Oryctolagus cuniculus: one gene and its partners. The main gene of each other region encodes a partner of the protein of the gene in region 4 in a complex. Links are inferred from orthologs where the notes say so. Each region holds a gene or a part of one and is shown on either strand. Other genes may lie near its edges.

Region 1 (3,518 bases), on a different chromosome or scaffold from region 4:
CCGGACTGAGCACTGACACATGGTCACCGAGACTATCACACACTCCTCCCAGGCCCACCAAGATGCTCCAAGTGCCCTCGGCTGGCCTGCGGCAGGGACTCCAGCACTCGCCCCAGGCTTGGCTGAGCCTAAGGCTGGGGCCTGAGTCATCATGCTGAACTGCCCTGCTAATGATCAACACCCAGCTGAGCGTCTTCAGCCGGGCCATCTGTCCGCTCCGTATGTAGCATGCTCCGAACTCTGAACCACCCTCTGTGTTACACACAACTACTGTCCCCCTTTAAAGAACGGAAAACTGAGGCTAGAGCAGGTGCTTGGAGCCTTGGTGTGAACCGTAACCACGCACTTTCAGAGTCCAGCGTTTTATACACCAGGCTAAACGTCACATTCCCTTGAGGGAGAAAAACGGCAGGCGAGGTGAGCAATACGACGGGTAGGAGACGAAAAGGCCGATGGTTACCTTGCTGCACGGTTACACCGACGTCACTCGTCCTTGATCAACACAACAGCACTTACAGTCATGGACCTTGTAGCAGTGCCTCTGCAGGCGCTCCATGTCCCATTCCTCCAGCACGCCGTGGGTCATCAGCAACTGCAGGAACCGCCGGTGGACGTCGGTCATGACGCCCGCCTTCCTCGTACTGCCCTGCATCTGTGAAGGAACTGAGAAAGTCAGCAAGAGTTCATCAGCTCCAAGCAACACCAGCAGGCGTTCTACAGTAACAAGGACAAATCTGCTAGGGTTTTAGAAGCAAAGTACCTCACACCAATCACTACGAAAGGGAAAAGGATGTGAGTCAGGGGCCAGGCGCATCAGTCCTGGGCAGTGCTGAGAAGCACGGCTTCTGCAGCCACCTCCACCACCTGCTACGTGTGTGAACTTGGCCAGCTGGGCCTACGTGTACTTCAGTTTCTGATCTGTAAAGTGGGGATAACAACAGAAATGCCCTCCGTAGAAGTGCTATGAAGGGGGCGGCATTGTGGTGCAGCGGGTCAAGCCGCCACTTGCAATGCCAGCATCCCATATGAGTGCTGGTTTGAAGCCTGGTGGCTCAACTTCTGATCCAGCTTGCTACTAACACATCTGGGAAAGCGGCAGAGGATGGCCCGAGGGCTTGGTCCTCTACACGCACAGGGGAGACCTGGATGGAGTTACGGGCTCCTAGCTTCAACCTCAACACGCCCTGGCAGCTGCAGCCATTTGGAGAACAGACCAGTGGATGGAAGCTCACTCACTCGCTTGCTTGCTCGCTCGCTCGCTCTCTATCTCTATCAGCCTGCCTTTCAAATAAACAAATCGTAAAAAGAAAAACACAAGGATCACTATGAAGAGGAGTTAACACGGTAACACAGTAAGCACAAACGAAGCACCAGCTATTGTCCCCGTTACCCAACAGTGAGTCTGAACCGTGGCTCAGTCTCTTAGCGGATCTATGGAGAAATGTAGCCAAGGCCCGATTTCTCCTGGTAAACTTCCAATAACACTCACTGCCTACAAAACTGCTGGTAAACTCTTCATGTTGGCTTCCTTCTCCTCTCCCTGAACCTCTAATAAGTCAACCTAAATGGCAGGACTGTGGGTTACTTTTAGAATCTGTTGCCTCTGATAAGATGGTCTCTTTCCACAAACCACGGAGAGGGCGGCTGATAGCGGAGTTACAGAGCCCTGATTTCGGCGTCTGCTCCTGGCTTGGCGAGGCAGCACAGGGCAGGCACTGCAGCTAACAGGCGGCGGCACGGAGACGTGCAGATCTTAAGCATCATGTAGTCTGCATGCTTAGAAATACAGATGCCCAGGCCCCTTCCCTGGAAGACTGACTACAGAGGGACCTGGAATTCTGACTAGCTGACATTCACTTTTAGGGGATACCCTGATCTGATAAGAAAGTCCCTATCGCCTTAGGCAAACAGGGCATGACCCTGTGACAGTCTTGTTATCTATAAAACAAGGATAATAACCACCCTAAGTGCACAGAATGAAATTTAAATGAGATTCAGCTACTAAACACTTGCCAAGAATCTGGGATACTCACATGAAAGATCCACAAAAATGCTATTTACTGTTTATTTAAACAGCAACATCACCTAGACCTCAGAGGCATCTTGGGGCTCGTGCTGTGGCATAGCAGATAAAGCCACCTGGCAGTGCTAGCATCCCATATGGGCTCTGGTTTGAGTCCCAGCTGCTCCACTTCCGATCCAGCTCCCTGTTAATGCACCTGGGAAAGCAAAAGAAGATGTCCCAAGTACTCAGACCCCTGCACCCAAGTGGGAGACCCTGAAGAAGCTCCTGGTTCCTGGCTTTAGCCTGGCCCAGCCCTGACCGTTGTGGCCATTTGGGGAGTGAACCAGCAGAGGAAGATCTCACTCTCTCACTCTCTCTCTCTCTCTCTCTGCTTCTCCTTCTCTGTAACTTCTTCAAATAAAGGTTGTTTTTTTTTTTTTTTAAAGATTTACTTATTTATTTGAAAGGCAGAATTACAGAGCAGCAAAGGCAGAGAGAGAGAGAGGTCTTCCATCCGCTGGTTCACTCCCCAGATGGCCCAATGGCCAGAGCTGTGCCGATCCAAAGCCAGGAGCCAGGAGCTTCTTCTGGGTCTCCCACGCAGGTGCAGGGGCCCAAGGACTTGGGCCATCTTGCACTGCTTTCCCAGGGCATAGCAGAGAGCTGGATCAGAAGTGGAGCAGCCGGGACTCAAAGCGCTGCCCATATGGGATGCCAGCACTGCAGGCAGCAGCTTCACCCACCACGCCAAGGTGCCGGCCTCTCATATAAATCTTTTTAAAGAACTAAAACCAGAGGCGTCCCATGACCAGTCTCTCTGTGTGCTGGACACCACGGAGAGCATCTCACCAGCAGCTCCACATCAACAAATCCAAGCCAGACTCCAACTCTGCTTCCTCCACCCTCAACTCCTTTCCTCCCCAGAGCCCTTCTCTCTGTGAAATCACCCGGTTTAGACGACACAGGCCACACAGTCACACAAAGCACACACCTGAGCACCACCGTGTGGTCCTCCTCGCCCTCAGCCTCACACCCGGCCAGCAGTCAAGTTTATTTCCCAGAAGGTACCTGCATTCACCCGCCCCGCTTAGTGATGCGAGCACCACCCTACTTGCCAAGGGTTGTTCTGGAAGCAGGGGTAGAAGGTGCTTTGGGCTCAGGCATCTGGATTTTTTACCCATAAGCTCTGGAGACGAAGACTCTCCCAACTAAGGGTCCCTAAGCAGGACGTTGATACGACCTAGGTGCGTCTTAGATCCGCTTTGATACCGTGGAGGCGACCAGGGGGCAAAGAGTGCAGTTAGAAAGCAGAAAGTCCTGGAAGGAAGCGGGAGGCAGAGGAAGCAGCTCAGTCCATGGAACGGATCCTGCAAAAGGGGACGAGCACAGTACCAAGGCTTAGCAGTGGGGACGAATGACAAGAACTGCGACCACCATGATTCCCACAAGGGCTCATGCAGGATCAGCTGCTAGATACCCACCGAAGCAGAGCACAGTAAACATTCAGAATACT
Region 2 (3,518 bases), on a different chromosome or scaffold from region 4:
CAGGCCACAGCAGAGAGCTGGATTGGAGTGGAGCAGCTGGGTCTCAAACTGTGCCCATATGGGATGCCGGCACTGCAGGTGGCGGCTTTACCTGCTATGCCACAGCCCACAGTGCAGGCCTCCACTCTCTCTTTAAATAAATAAAAACAAATAAAGGAGATCGAACTAGGCAGGATGTCTATTCTGGGAGTCACTGGCACATATCCTTGTCCTTGTGGGGAGGAATGCGCTTTGTAACAGTACCTGCCTTTTCCTTATTTGACTACAGGGGGACGTCACAAACTTGGAGTAAGAAGAGCTAGCAAATAAATCTATCTAGGAATATCTGTTTTTAGCAATCATGTTAACAATATTTTGGCTTTTCAGAGAACGAACACAGAAAAAAGTTCATTGCAAAAGAGATCTGGAAGTCCAGAAACAACAGAAAATTATAATCACAGAGGAGAGGACAGGTTCAGCAGGGAGGAGACATTTCAACTACGAAGTGGGAACTCCAAACAGATCAAAACGTGCGAATGATGTAGGCTAGAGTTTGCAACCACGAGGCTGCAAAACCATTATTCTTCTAGAATAAACAGGGTAAATTACCTGACTGAATGACCATTAAGATACCTACAGCCTCCAAATATCCAATCTCTAGGGAGTGGTGGGGAATTCCAACTCGAGGTCTGGAACAGCGAATTTCTGGGCGACAGAGACAAACCACACATCAAAGGGACTGTTATCAAAAAGCTCTTGAGACCTGGTCACACCTGCCATTCCATTCCTGCGGCAAAGACAAACCTGTGATAAGCGCACAAGAGATGCCGAACTGAGTCCAAGCCGGAGCCAGTCTAGCTCACTCAGAGTTCTATGTTAATACAGAATCAGAGCCACAGTCCTTTGAGATCTTGGGGAGGGAATAAACACACGAAAGATTCCTCAGAACCTCCATTAAAATAAACCTCACTGATCAGTCACCCATGAGTTTACTTGAATCTTTTAGGAAGTTAGTTAAATAATTAAATATGTGGCAAGTACCCCCTGATAATAAAATGGGATTCATCAAGGCCAGGGGATGTGACTTGTCATCTTAGAGTGTCTACTTAAAATAATTTTTCAAAACTTATTTTATTTATTTGAAAGGCAGAGTGAGAGAGAGAGAGACAGAGACACACAGAGAGAGAATCTTCCATCTGCTGGTTCACTCCCCAGATGGCCCCAAAGGCCGAGGCTGGGCCAGGCTGAAGCCAGGCATAAGGAGCTTCTTCCAAGTCTCCCACGTGGGTGCAGGGGCCCAAGCACTTGGGCCATCATTTACTGCTTTCCCAGGCCATAGCAGAGAGCTGGATCGGAAATGGAGCAGCCGGGTCTCAAACCAGCACCCATGTGGGATGCCGGCATTGTTGGTGGCAGCTTTACCTGCTGTGCCACAGCGGCGGTCCCCTTAAAATACTTTTAAAGCAAATTAGCTGTATTGCAGAAAGCAAAACGAAACAAAACAAGCCTTAAAACAACTTACATTCCCTCTTGTTTGGGGAAGTGTATATACAAAGAGAGGGCACATTTGAGTCTTACAGTTCTCCTTTATGTTCTTCAGGCTAGGTTTTTAATTGCACACATTCATAAAACTCCTATAATCTCATGATTAGAATTCAATCCAACCTTTTTCCTTCTGTTTCAAGGTGTGGCTGGAGTTCCTTCGGCTTTTCCTGAACAGATTGCTAATCTTTCCCAGCTGAATGGTTTTTCCAGAAAGTCAGCTTCCATGTTTACACTGTCCGGGAGGCGAATGTGATCTCGGGCAGACACTGAGTGTCTCTTCCTCTGGCCTGACCTCTGGCACAGCGGCCCTGGCTGCCCACCGCGGAGGCCCCGCTTCCGCTCCCGCGTCAACTCACCAGGCCTTTTTCTTCCGCCTGTGCTTGGACTCAATCATGCGAACAATGGCTTCCTCTTCGTAGGTGTGGCCGCACACTTTGTTTTTCACTGGCTTCTTCATTTCCAACTGCAATCAAGGAGACATTAGGCTTTCAGGAATGATAACGATCAATTTCCAGTAGCTCTCTTTCCCCTAGTCCTGGGCTTTCTCATGGCCTTAGGTAACTATGAGGCTTAAGATAAGGACAAGCAGGGAAACCGGGGCACCAGTGTCATTGGCCATGAACTTTTCCCTAGATCCTTCAGGGTATGCTGGAAGGAAAGCCTGCCCTGTATATGCCTTAGTCTGCATCACTTATCTTTTCTCCCGCCTTAACTCCAAATGTGAAATCAAACCAGAAAGCCAGCAGGAACCATTTTGCCCCTGGGAAGCCAACTGCTTCTCTGACAGGGGTGGAAAGAGGAACCAGTACCTGCGTAATGGGGCAGATGAAGTTGGTCTGACTCTGGGTCACGATCATGTCTTCGTCCACTCCTTCTGTTCCGTCGGCCTCTCTGTCCGCCTGAAGACCATCTAGAGGGAAAGGAGGAGCGGGTGAGCCTCCTCGGCCTGCCTTCACCCCACAGATGCGGAAGGAATGGAAGGACAGTGGGCTCTACGTGGCATGAGTCTCTGTGCGAGGCCCCTGGAGGCCTCGGAATTGTTCTGCTCTCGAGAGAACTCTGCAAGGCACAGGATTCTGCCCATTCCTGCTAAGGAAACTGAGGCTCAGAGCAGTAAAAATACTCTTCAAAGCCACAGAGAATTAACTTTTGGAGATACTGTCTGGTAATCCAGAGTGTGAACTGGGGGACCTGGTTAGCTCCCTCCCGTCCTGCTCTGAGACCCTGAGCTAGCCGCAAACATGAGGAAGGGACACAGAAGGTGGTGTGCTTCTGCACCGCTCCTGGCACAAGGAAGTGCTAAGTGGTACCTGCTATTAGGTAATGTGTGTGGTGTGTGGCTCGTAGGCTTAAACCCTTTCATATTTCTGGGTATTAATGAGGATCTCCAAAGAACTTTTTTCATGTGAATTATATTTACCAATGATAGATATTAAAACTGAAGAATTAAAAACTATGTATTAATTTATTTAAAAAATAAAATCCCTTTACATGGTAACAGATATTTTGTAAGAATTAAAAGTTAGCATATTTTCCAGAAACCATCCTGTCCACCCCTTGTCCCAAGTGAGAAGAGTGGCCCTGCTTCACAGTTTTTCTAAGTACCTTTAATGCTTGGCTTGACAGAAGACAGTTGGATTTTGATATTTGTGCATGCACTTAATTGGCCACAATATCACATGTCCTACAGCTTCTGGGAAAATTCACCCATGGAAAGAATGAGAATGAAAAAGGCAAATGACCTCATGTTATTATGAGAGCAGTTCTGACTTGACAGCTGCCCTGAAAAGGCTCTTGGAGAACTCTAGGGGTTCCCTGGTCACGTTTTGAGAACTGCTGGAGGATGAGTGGTAGTGCTGGCTTTGAACATGGCACTGTCTGCTTCTTCTTTTCATTAAATTGCGCTTTCCCCTCACTTAGGGAAAAGGAGATGACAGACGATTTTTGAAGGAGACAGTAGGAGTTAGTATCATATAAAAGCCTTAACATTTTTT
Region 3 (3,244 bases), on a different chromosome or scaffold from region 4:
AGCCCTGGGGGGTTCTGAGTATGTGAACACTTTCAGGTTACTTATTACCTACCTTTGGTGTAATAAAGAAGTATTGAGATGTATTTTCTTTACAGGCAGTATTTACAACCATTTCAAACACTCTCCGTTCATTGATGGGGTCCATTCCCTGGACAATGACAACAATAACGAATGCCCATGTAAATTTACTACAGGATACAGTAGGATTTAAGTGTAAAAAGAATAATCACCAGACCTGGTTGATTTCATCGACTACTCTGAATGGACATCTGTTCAGCTCCTGAAGTGCCATCAAGTATAACATAGTAGAAACACTTCGTTCACCTCCACTTTGATGATGAGGAGTTAATTCATGCAGTTGAGTACTGCTGCGAAATTTCACTCTAATTCGAATTCCGTATTTATCATAGTCTTCCTATAAAACATTTAAAAAGCTGATGAAACATGACAGCTTTCTCTGCTACTTTCATTCCAATCGAAAAAAGACTGAATAAATCAATTGTATGAGTAAATGCAGCAGGTTGGGCTTCTTGTGACAAGTCCCAGCTGCTTCACTTCCAATCTGCTCTCTGCTGAAGAACGCGGGTAGGCAGCAGATGACCCAAGTGCTTGGGACCCTGCCAACCAGGTAAGAGACCCTGACAGAGCACCGGGCTCCTGGCTTCAGCCTGGCCAAACCCTGGCCATTGCAGTTATTTGGGGAGTGAACCAGCGGATGGAAGTTCTCTCTCTTATTCTCTCTCCCTCTGTAACTGTACTTTTCAAATAAATAAAATAAATAAATAAAAAAAAAAGAATTTAAAATTTAGTGATACCATCAAGTTTAAAGCAATACAACATTAACCAAGTAGCTACTATTTAGAAGCTTTAATATCTCCAAAGATCTATTTAGACATGGAAAATATATTAAGAAGCAGGGCTGGCGCTGTGTGTGGTGTAGCATGTAAAGCCGCTGCCTGCAGTGTCGGCATCCCATATGGACACCGGTTCGAGTCTCAGCTGCTCCACTTCCAATCCAGCTCTCTGCTGTAGCCTGGGAAAGCAGTGGAAGATGGCCCAAGTGCCTGGACCACTGGACCCGTGTGGGAGAACTGGAAGAAGCTCCTGGCTTTGGATTGGGTCAGTTTCGGCCGTTGCGGTCAATTAGGGAATAAACCAGCAGATAGAAGATCTCTTTCTCTCTCTCTCTGCCTCTCCTTCTCTCTCTGTGTAACTCTGACTTTCAAATAAATAAATAAAAAAAGAAAAGAAAATATATTCAGATTAAAATGATTGCTTTTTACAGAGGTAAAAATAATCGCCAAGTCTTCCTCACACCTCTTTGGCTGGTTAAAAAGAAAAGTGGATAAGAATTATATACATATTTTGAAAAACACTGTATCTATTACAATGTCATATCCAGGTTAATTAGTTACATATTTACCTTAAAAATCACATAAATCACAATTAAAAGCTAACTATTTAATATACAGAGCTTTAAGTGCTAACAACGCAAGCCATATAGGATATTTAAAATTTACATAAAAAATATAAATTGGTGAACTAATTTTAATGTACATTTTATTTAACCTAACATATCTAAAATATCATTTCAACATGTAACCATAATGTTATTAATGAGATAATTTGATTTTTTCATACTAAGTCTGTGAAATCTGGTATGTATTATACAGTGAACATATCTTTTACCTGTTTCAAGACATGTATACTTTGCAACTGGTCTAAGATTAACAGTGTTATAAGCATGTCAAGCATGTTAACAATAAATGTAAGGATTCTGGTAGGCTGTCAAATCTTAGAAATACCACTTTATTCCGTTTACTTTCCTAAGACTGAGCCAAAACAAAGAAATAACATAATGAATTTGTTAGTTTTGACTCCCAAGGTTTACCTTTTAACTTACATTCCACTTTTCTTCCACAATAATTTTATTTACTATTTCATTTCTTAACCATACCAGCTTTGATTACTAGAGTTTTATTTCTGGCTCTGCCAACTATTCTCTGCCGTTTCTGCCCCCATTCTAGTGTCTCCCATTTCTCTGAAGGTTCTGGAAAAAGAAAGTGGTTCTAGAAATAAAATAAATAAAAGCATTCCAACGGGAAGGCTGAGAAGAGCCAAGAATGTTCATCACCCAGGGACCCTAGGCTGGGCAAGAAAATTTCACTGAAAATATTGAGTCATCTCTGCGATGGGGCAGCTATCACTGAGAACACTAAAAGCTATCTGGAAGAAACAACACATGATAAAGCTATCGTATATCGTATCATGCAAGAAATGGGACCTAGATTAAAGAATGGGATTTTTATTTATTTATCTATTTTAGAAGTAGAGTTACAGACAGTGAGAGGGAGAGACAGAGAGAAAACCTTCCTTCCGGTGGTGCACTCCAGATGGCCACAATGGCTGGAGCTGGGCAGGTCAGAAGCCAGGAGCCAGGAGCTTCTTCCAAGTCTCCTGCATGGGTGCACGGGCTCAAGGACTTGGGCCACCTTCTGCTGCTTTCCCAGGCCACAGCAGAGAGCTGGATCAGAAGAGGAGCAGCCGGGACTAGAACCAGTGCCCAAACAGGATGCCAGCAACACAGGATGAGGCTCAACACTGCTGCCCCACAGCACCAGTCCCAAGAATAGGATTTCTATGACAGGTCATCAGTTCTACAGGTTTCCTTCCTGTGCTTACTTTTGATTATCCTTATGCCTTATCTGGTCAAGTTGTCTGATAAAGGTACTAAAGCTACTTTGACTAGGATGAAGCTCCTAGTAATCAAACTTATTTGGGATCAGATCTGGAGATGAGTCTGCCACTTAGTGACCTGTAGTAAATTTATCTTAAGTTTCAGCTTATTTATTTGTAAAATAGGGTTGATAAAAGCACCTGCTTCAGAGGATAGTTTGAGGATTAAAGAAGGTAAGTTTAAAAGTGCCTGGCACAAAAGAAACATACTTTTCACTTATGTTTCATACTGAGCAAATGAAGGAACCATGGGCAAAACTAAGGGGAGAAAGCAGTGCTATCTTGCCTTATATTCATGTACGTAACACAATGCAAAACTGCATACACACCAAAACACACAATTAAAAAGCTACAAGAAAAAAGGATTTTATTCTCTTTATTTCTTTCTTATTAAAAAATTTCATTGCAAGGGCAACACGTGGCATAACAAGTTAAGCTGCTGCTCAGAACATCTGTATCCCTGTATTGGAGTGCTCGCGTTAAGTCTTGGTTACTCCACTTCTAACCC
Region 4 (2,886 bases):
GAACTTTGCGGGACACTCTAACCGCGGCAGCCTCTCATTAAGACTGCCGCGAGGGGCCCCTTCGGTGGATTCGGTGTGGGAGAGCGACTGCTCCCAGCTAGCATTTTGATCATACTGCACCACAGCGTGGATTAAGACTTCACGGTTAGCACTGGGGTGGTGTGGGTGCCATTATCAGATTGCATTTTCATATTGAATTATAAACAAAAATTTTATGTGACTCTCCTTCAATGGAATGTTAATAAGGCTGTGCTTTGGTGCTGTTATTCAAATAATGGGCTCTGAATTGCTTTCCGCGGAATATATTTGCATTAAAGAGGAACTCAATTTAATTTAGTTCCTAGAGAAGTTTACCCATTTTCCCGGTAGCTTTAAAAAAAAAAAGACGGGGAAATTGAGTTTCCTTGCAAGTCGAGAAGAAACACACTTGCTAAAATCTGTAGGCGCGCCAGCAGATTGCTGATCGCTCGAGTTAATGGAACGACGCGTTGCACAATTGAAAATGCATGCAAACTGCACACGTCGCGGACCCCCTGTGCGCTTTGCTACGGATCCCAGTGGCTGGGGAGTTTGCAATGAAGGCGTCTAGGAGATGCACGTTAGCGCAGCTCGCATCCGCGAGGCCTCCGAGGAAGTGGGAATGTCTCCGGGTCCTGCCCCGGGCGTGGCTGCGGGCCCAGGGCCGTGCCCGCGGGCGCCGCGTTCCCCGGCCCCCCGCCGCGGGCAGTGGCCGCCAGCCCCTCGTGTCCCGCACACCCCGGAGGACACGAGGGCGGGCGCCAAGGTCAAGGACGCCCTGCGGCTCGCGTGTCTCGACCTCCACGGTCTGCGCCGCAGCGGGCGCTCCAGCCTCCCACGCCGTGGCGGCCTCGGCCACTCCATCCACAAAGGCGCCCGATGCTAAACCTCTTAATACCGCCCGTAACCGCCCCGCGCCCGTGCGGGCCTGAAATTAGCCGCACCCTAGAGCAGGAGTTTGGTGGTCTCTTTCTAACCCGATTAACCCATCACTCCCACCAGCAGCACCGCGCCGCCCTTCCGCAGGCGCGGCTGCGCATGCCCAGCGCCGCCCCCCGTGACGCAGCACGCACGGGGACGCACGCCGCGTGGCCCCGCCCCCTGGCGCCTCGCGCCGACCCACAATCCCCGCCGCTTCCGGCCGTTGCGGCCCCCGCCCCGCTGCGGCCCCCGCCCCGCTGCCTGGAGCCATGTTGCAGAAAGCCCGGAGCCGGGGCCGGTCCAGTTCCCAGGCCGACAGGGACGGGGGCCGCGGCGCCGCCGAGGAGACGCCGAGCACGTCCCGCGGGCCGGGCGGCTCGCAGGAGGCGCTGAGCGCCCCGTCGGTGGGGCCCAGGACTCAGAAGCAGCTGGAGCTGAAGGTGGCGGAGCTGGTGCAGTTCCTGCTGGTCAAGGACCAGAAGAAGATCCCCATCAAGCGCACGGACATCGCGAAGCACGTGCTGGGCGACTACAAGGACGTCCTGCCGGACCTGCTGCGGCTGGCCGGCGAGCGGCTGCAGTACGTGTTCGGCTACAAGCTGGTGGAGCTGGAGCCCCGCAGCAACGCGTACATCCTGGTGAACACGCTGGAGCCGGTGGAGGAGGACGCGGCGGTGCGGGGCGACCAGGGCACGCCCACCACGGGCCTGCTGATGATCGTGCTGGGGCTCATCTTCATGAAGGGCAACGCGGTGAAGGAGACGGAGGTGTGGGACTTCCTGCGGCGGCTGGGCGTGCACCCCACCAAGCGGCACGTGGTCTTCGGGGACCCCAAGAAGCTGCTCACCGAGGACTTCGTGCGGCAGCGCTACCTGGAGTACCGGCGGATCCCGCACACGGACCCCGTGGACTACGAGTTCCAGTGGGGCCCGCGCACCAGCCTGGAGACGAGCAAGATGAAGGTGCTCAAGTTCGTGGCCAAAGTGCACAACCAGGACCCCAAGGACTGGCCGGCGCAGTACTGCGAGGCCCTGGCGGACGAGGAGAGCCGGGCCCGGCCGCAGCCCCAGCCCAGCGGGCCGGCCGCCACCTGCTGAAGCCCGCGGCGCGGGCGGGAGGGGCGCCCGGGGGTGGGTGGGTGGGTGGGCTCGCCTCCCCCGGCCCCTGCTGTCTGCTCCCAGGCCGCCGCCTCGAAGCAGGCTTGGGGGAGCGGCGGCTTTTGCCCCCACCCCCGGTTTAGACTTTGCCGTCGTGTTGTTATTTTGTATAAAATCTTGCTGGCTTTGTAAGACTAACCGGAGCGCTGCGTGCCGTGCCCTGGGACAGGTGTTTAAGAAAGCGCGTGAGCGCAGGACCTCGGTGCCGAGAATATAAAAGCAGAGAAGTGATTTCACGTCTCCTACCCCCATTTGTAAGGAAAATAAAGCTGTTTGCAAAGTTGACCGTGCGACTAGAACCGTCTGTCCTTGTTAGAGTAACACGCGGATTTCACAGGCTTCCTGCCCCGGGCCGCGGCCGTGACTCCGAGCGATGGCCTCCTGTGCCTCCAAGAGGGTTTTGGGCTCACGATTGTTACTCAGCTGTGTGGCTCATCGCTCAGTTCCATTGGGCGGCTTTTCTTCCCTCTAACTACGTAGCCGTTAACGATAAATGCTGTATTTTAAAGTGGTTAGTCATGCGCGTTTTTAAATCTCTTGCATATTAATGTTCATAGCGTTCTGTAGAAGTTGATGTAAAAAAAGTATTTGCGTAGCTTCACGGTGTGAAATGTGTGTCTCGGTCAGTGACCCACCTGCCTGCCGGACGGCCCAGGTGTGTGAACTGACGGGGCCTAGCCTGTGAGGTGGCCGATGCCGGCGTGAACAGGGAAGTTTACCTAAGACTCCTGTCACAGCCCCTTTGTAAAGTTATTCAGAAAGAAGATTTTTTTTCTTCTTAGTCCGGAGC
Region 5 (3,518 bases), on a different chromosome or scaffold from region 4:
TGTTTAGATCCCAGGATTCACGACAGACCTCAACACTCAACGGCAAAATAACAAAGACCTGGATTTTTATCCTAAGGAGGTCTGGTCATTTTCTTGTAATATCTGCAACGGCTCTCAGCCCGAGTGACCTAAGGCTGGACAGGAACGGAGGCCTGGCCCACACCACAGCCCTGCCACTTCCACAGAAGCCTGCCCAGGGAGACACCACGCGTCTCAGGAAGTTTACAGAGGCCGATCAGGACAGACAAACGTCCAGGAGGTGGACTGTTACGGAGGAAAGGACGGAAACAAGAGGGACAGTTTCCTCTGAACGAAGCATCTACTGGGAACTGCAGGCTGCCTTACACAAAACCACCAAGGGAGCTGGTTTTGGTTCCGCCAGGGGTCTCCCAGCTAGGAAGACAGAAGAAAATTTCACGTGACTACCAAGAAAAACTTGTCTTAAAACCAGGGCCGTATCCAAAAACAGAGCTGGGCAGTGTATGTTCGGACAAGGGCTTGAGTAGTCTTCACATATAGGTGAGTGACCGCCCAATGGGACGCCTGACGCCAGCCTCAGCAGGTGCACCTGCGTCCTCCTGCCCCAAGATCTCAAAGACACTCAAACAAGGATGGTAAGCCAGGACGCGGGATCCTTTAGCTTCCTCTCCCTGTGGAGAGTTTATGGGCTTTGCAATCAAAGTGTAGGAAGGCGCCGAGCACTGGCATCAGGGTTGTCACCACCACCCTACCAAATCATCTTTGTCCCTACGAGAAAAAACAGCGTAAGCTTTACAAATGGCTGGTCTGTCGGATTTTTAAAATAATCTTACAGAAAGTGGAATGTATGGGTTTTATTAAAGGTGTTTTCTGCTGTTTTGCCTGATATTTTCCAGGAGTCATAGACTATGAATTCAAAATCAGAACTATCTTCATCACGGATGAGTTCTTCAGCTTCTAGTGGATTTACACCCATATGTGTCAGCTACAAAAAATGAAGGAAGACAAAAAAACCCCAGTTAAGCCGCGAGCAATCATTCACCACATTCAACAATCTGCATCACTAACCCTTCCAGTGCCAGAGGCGAAGGCTATTTTCGGGGTCCTGCTCGGCTGCCCAGATTTCTCCTCCTACACGGCATCTCACACAGAAACGCCTGTTTTCCAAGGTCTCTTCTTTTTGGCAGAAAATACTCTCCCGTGCACTGAGAGCTTTTCTTTAGGTGGGAAGCGACATGACTCAGACCCAGAACTAGGCCCCCTGGGGACGCCTGCATCCCAGGCTGTCCCGGGCTCAGGCCAGCTCAGGCCAGCTCGACCAGCATAAACCTACAGAAGCTCCAGGACAGAGCCGGGGGTGGAGCTGGCTTTCAGACCTTAGGTTTCAGCCAGCCTCCCACCTGCTTAGCATCAGCAAGAGCTCAGCTCGCTTTAAAAGTACCTTCCAGGGCAGGACTGGTGAAGTTAAACAATTCTACCTTCCAGAAAATGCATTGTACTGAATTTACTTTTATGAAAGGACACATTTATTACATTATACTGTAAAGTACCTAGGAGTTACCAAGTCACGATGGCCGTATCATATAGAAACCATAATCACTAGGCCCCGGGAACATAACCCTATTGAAGACAACCAAACTGAAGAGGAGAAAGGCAACCAGAGCCTGGTCAGAGGGCCCGGTCAGCGCTGCTCTACCCTTGCCCGCCGCTCCTAGCACGGTACCCTCATAGCAAGACATTTGACCCGTCATTCACTTAAGGTTTTGCAAGTAATACTTTAGGACTTCAGGAATTTATTTTTGAGAGCTTTATCTCATAAACAGTAATTTTTTTAATTAATTAATTTATTTATTTTTGACAGGCAGAGTGGACAGTGAGAGAGAGAGACAGAGAGAAAGGTCTTCCTTTGCCGTTGGTTCACCCTCCAATGGCCGCCGCGGCCACCGCGCTGATCCGAAGCCAGGAGCCAGGTGCTTCTCCTGGTCTCCCATGGGGTGCAGGGCCCAAGGACTTGGGCCATCCTCCACTGCACTCCCTGGCCACAGCAGAGAGCTGGCCTGGAGGAGGGGCAACCGGGACAGAATCCGGCGCCCTGACCAGGACTAGAACCTGGTGTGCTGGTGCCGCAAGGCGGAGGATTAGCCTAGTGAGCCGCGGCGCTGGCCATAAACAGTAATTTTTAAAAATACCCAATATACAGCCACTCCGATGAGTGTGCATTTTCCTAAATGTGTTTCACTTCACAAATTTTTTTTAATTTAAGGTTTTAAAAACTACAAATTGCAGGCCGGCGCCGCGGCTCACTAGGCTAATCCTCCGCCTTGCGGCGCCGGCACACCGGGTTCTAGTCCCGGTTGGGGCGCCGGATTCTGTCCCGGTTGCCCCTCTTCCAGGCCAGCTCTCTGCTGTGGCCAGGGAGTGCAGTGGAGGATGGCCCAGGTGCTTGGGCCCTGCACCCCATGGGAGACCAGGAAGAGCACCTGGCTCCTGGCTCCTGCCATCGGATCAGCGCGGTGCGCCGGCTGCAGCGGCGGCCATTGGAGGGTGAACCAACGGCAAAGGAAGACCTTTCTCTCTGTCTCTCTCTCTCACTGTCCACCCTGCCTGTCAAAAAAAAAAAAAAAACTACAAATTGCAAACTGTCTGCCTCATGCCTCTACACATGCTTTATCGGGTTGAGACATCACAGCACTAAATCTGTTCAGTACCACGTGACACAACGACAGAAATTCAGTGTTTGAATCAAGGTGCCAGGACAGAGGCTGCCTCGGAGCAGAATCAGAAACAGACAAGGGGGCAGGGCTGGCTCAGCGGTGAGATGCCACTCGGGACATCCACACCCGGTATCAGGGCACCTGGGTGTGAGTCCCTGCTCTGCTTCCAGGTCTGGCTCCTGATCGCGGGCAGCCTATGGGGCAGCCAGCAAGTGACGGCTCAAGTATTTAGGTCCCTGCCACCCACATGGGAGACCTGGATTAAGTCCCAGGCTCCTCGCTTGGGTCTGGACCAACTCTGATATTTATAGAGCAAACCAGCAGAAGGAAGATCTGTCTCTATACATGTATCTCTCTCTCTCTCTGCCTCTCTCTCTCTCTTTTTTTTAATATGGTAAGATACAAGGTCAGTCTCTTTTTTTGGTAAATCCACCAAGGAAAAGTTATAAAATTTCAAGTAACAAGCATTCAAGCTTCAAAGACAAAGAAGGATGAATAAAACCGTATTTGTGCGGTTCTGAAATATTCTCAAAGACAGAACATCCCCCTTCTCCAGGCTTCTGCGCAGCCCAGCACAAAGGTTCCAGGTCACTGAGAATGACCCAGAACACTTATGAACTAAAAAACGGTCATTTGTAAATATCTGTAACACTCCAGAGTCTTAAACCAGAATGCAGAGATGCTCAGACCGCTCTAAGCGCCCACCCAATCCTGCACCACATAGCTCTGCTTCCCTCATTTAATCCGATCTTTTCAGGGGAACCTGAGGCCCAAAAAGCAGGATTTGGGGAGGCAAAGGAAATGAAGTAGAACAACTTGCCTATT

Evidence for each region.
Region 1: the proteins of NSMCE3 (region 4) and NSMCE1 are in contact, whole or in part, in a crystal structure (PDB 7DG2), measured with the Xenopus laevis proteins. The link is inferred for Oryctolagus cuniculus from reciprocal best matches to the Homo sapiens genes NSMCE3 and NSMCE1. Residues at the interface, in XP_018121157.1 of Xenopus laevis: Gly57, Glu58, Val60, Gln61, Tyr62, Leu64, Ile65, Lys66, Gln68, Lys69, Val82, Thr100, Gln102, Gln103, Val104, Phe105, Gly106, Phe107, Asn123, Leu125, Gln126, Arg127, Val128, Gly130, Asp131, Gly132, Met133, Arg134, Asp136, Glu137; in NP_001083134.1 of Xenopus laevis: Ile5, Glu7, Gln10, Arg11, Leu13, Gln14, Ala15, Met17, Ser18, His19, Leu30, His33, Leu37, His38, Leu54, His57, Leu58, Pro60, Leu61, Phe62, Met63, Val84, Asn86, Ile88, Thr89, Met91, Ala92, Ser93, Asp94, Gln149.
Region 2: NSMCE3 (region 4) and NSMCE2 share a complex: the UniProt entries of both Homo sapiens proteins name them as parts of the SMC5-SMC6 complex. The link is inferred for Oryctolagus cuniculus from reciprocal best matches to the Homo sapiens genes NSMCE3 and NSMCE2.
Region 3: NSMCE3 (region 4) and SMC5 share a complex: the UniProt entries of both Homo sapiens proteins name them as parts of the SMC5-SMC6 complex. The link is inferred for Oryctolagus cuniculus from reciprocal best matches to the Homo sapiens genes NSMCE3 and SMC5.
Region 5: NSMCE3 (region 4) and NSMCE4A share a complex: the UniProt entries of both Homo sapiens proteins name them as parts of the SMC5-SMC6 complex. The link is inferred for Oryctolagus cuniculus from reciprocal best matches to the Homo sapiens genes NSMCE3 and NSMCE4A.

Annotation. Positions count from the first base shown.
Region 1 is NC_091450.1:12,350,657-12,354,174, reverse strand, and holds part of NSMCE1 (non-structural maintenance of chromosomes element 1 homolog), read right to left. Parts: intron 664-3,518; 5' UTR 653-663; coding exon 517-652; intron 1-516. UniProt on the Homo sapiens protein: RING-type zinc finger-containing E3 ubiquitin ligase that assembles with melanoma antigen protein (MAGE) to catalyze the direct transfer of ubiquitin from E2 ubiquitin-conjugating enzyme to a specific substrate.
Region 2 is NC_091437.1:150,978,830-150,982,347, reverse strand, and holds part of NSMCE2 (E3 SUMO-protein ligase NSE2), read right to left. Parts: intron 2,435-3,518; coding exon 2,334-2,434; intron 1,988-2,333; coding exon 1,881-1,987; intron 1-1,880. UniProt on the Homo sapiens protein: E3 SUMO-protein ligase component of the SMC5-SMC6 complex, a complex involved in DNA double-strand break repair by homologous recombination. Is not be required for the stability of the complex.
Region 3 is NC_091432.1:160,105,025-160,108,268, forward strand, and holds part of SMC5 (structural maintenance of chromosomes protein 5), read right to left. Parts: intron 416-3,244; coding exon 236-415; intron 149-235; coding exon 53-148; intron 1-52. UniProt on the Homo sapiens protein: Core component of the SMC5-SMC6 complex, a complex involved in repair of DNA double-strand breaks by homologous recombination.
Region 4 is NC_091443.1:11,538,452-11,541,337, forward strand, and holds NSMCE3 (non-structural maintenance of chromosomes element 3 homolog), read left to right. Parts: upstream 1-1,152; 5' UTR 1,153-1,208; coding exon 1,209-2,036; 3' UTR 2,037-2,381; downstream 2,382-2,886. UniProt on the Homo sapiens protein: Component of the SMC5-SMC6 complex, a complex involved in repair of DNA double-strand breaks by homologous recombination. The complex may promote sister chromatid homologous recombination by recruiting the SMC1-SMC3 cohesin complex to double-strand breaks.
Region 5 is NC_091446.1:8,987,226-8,990,743, reverse strand, and holds part of NSMCE4A (non-structural maintenance of chromosomes element 4 homolog A), read right to left. Parts: intron 965-3,518; coding exon 813-964; intron 1-812. UniProt on the Homo sapiens protein: Component of the SMC5-SMC6 complex, a complex involved in DNA double-strand breaks by homologous recombination. The complex may promote sister chromatid homologous recombination by recruiting the SMC1-SMC3 cohesin complex to double-strand breaks.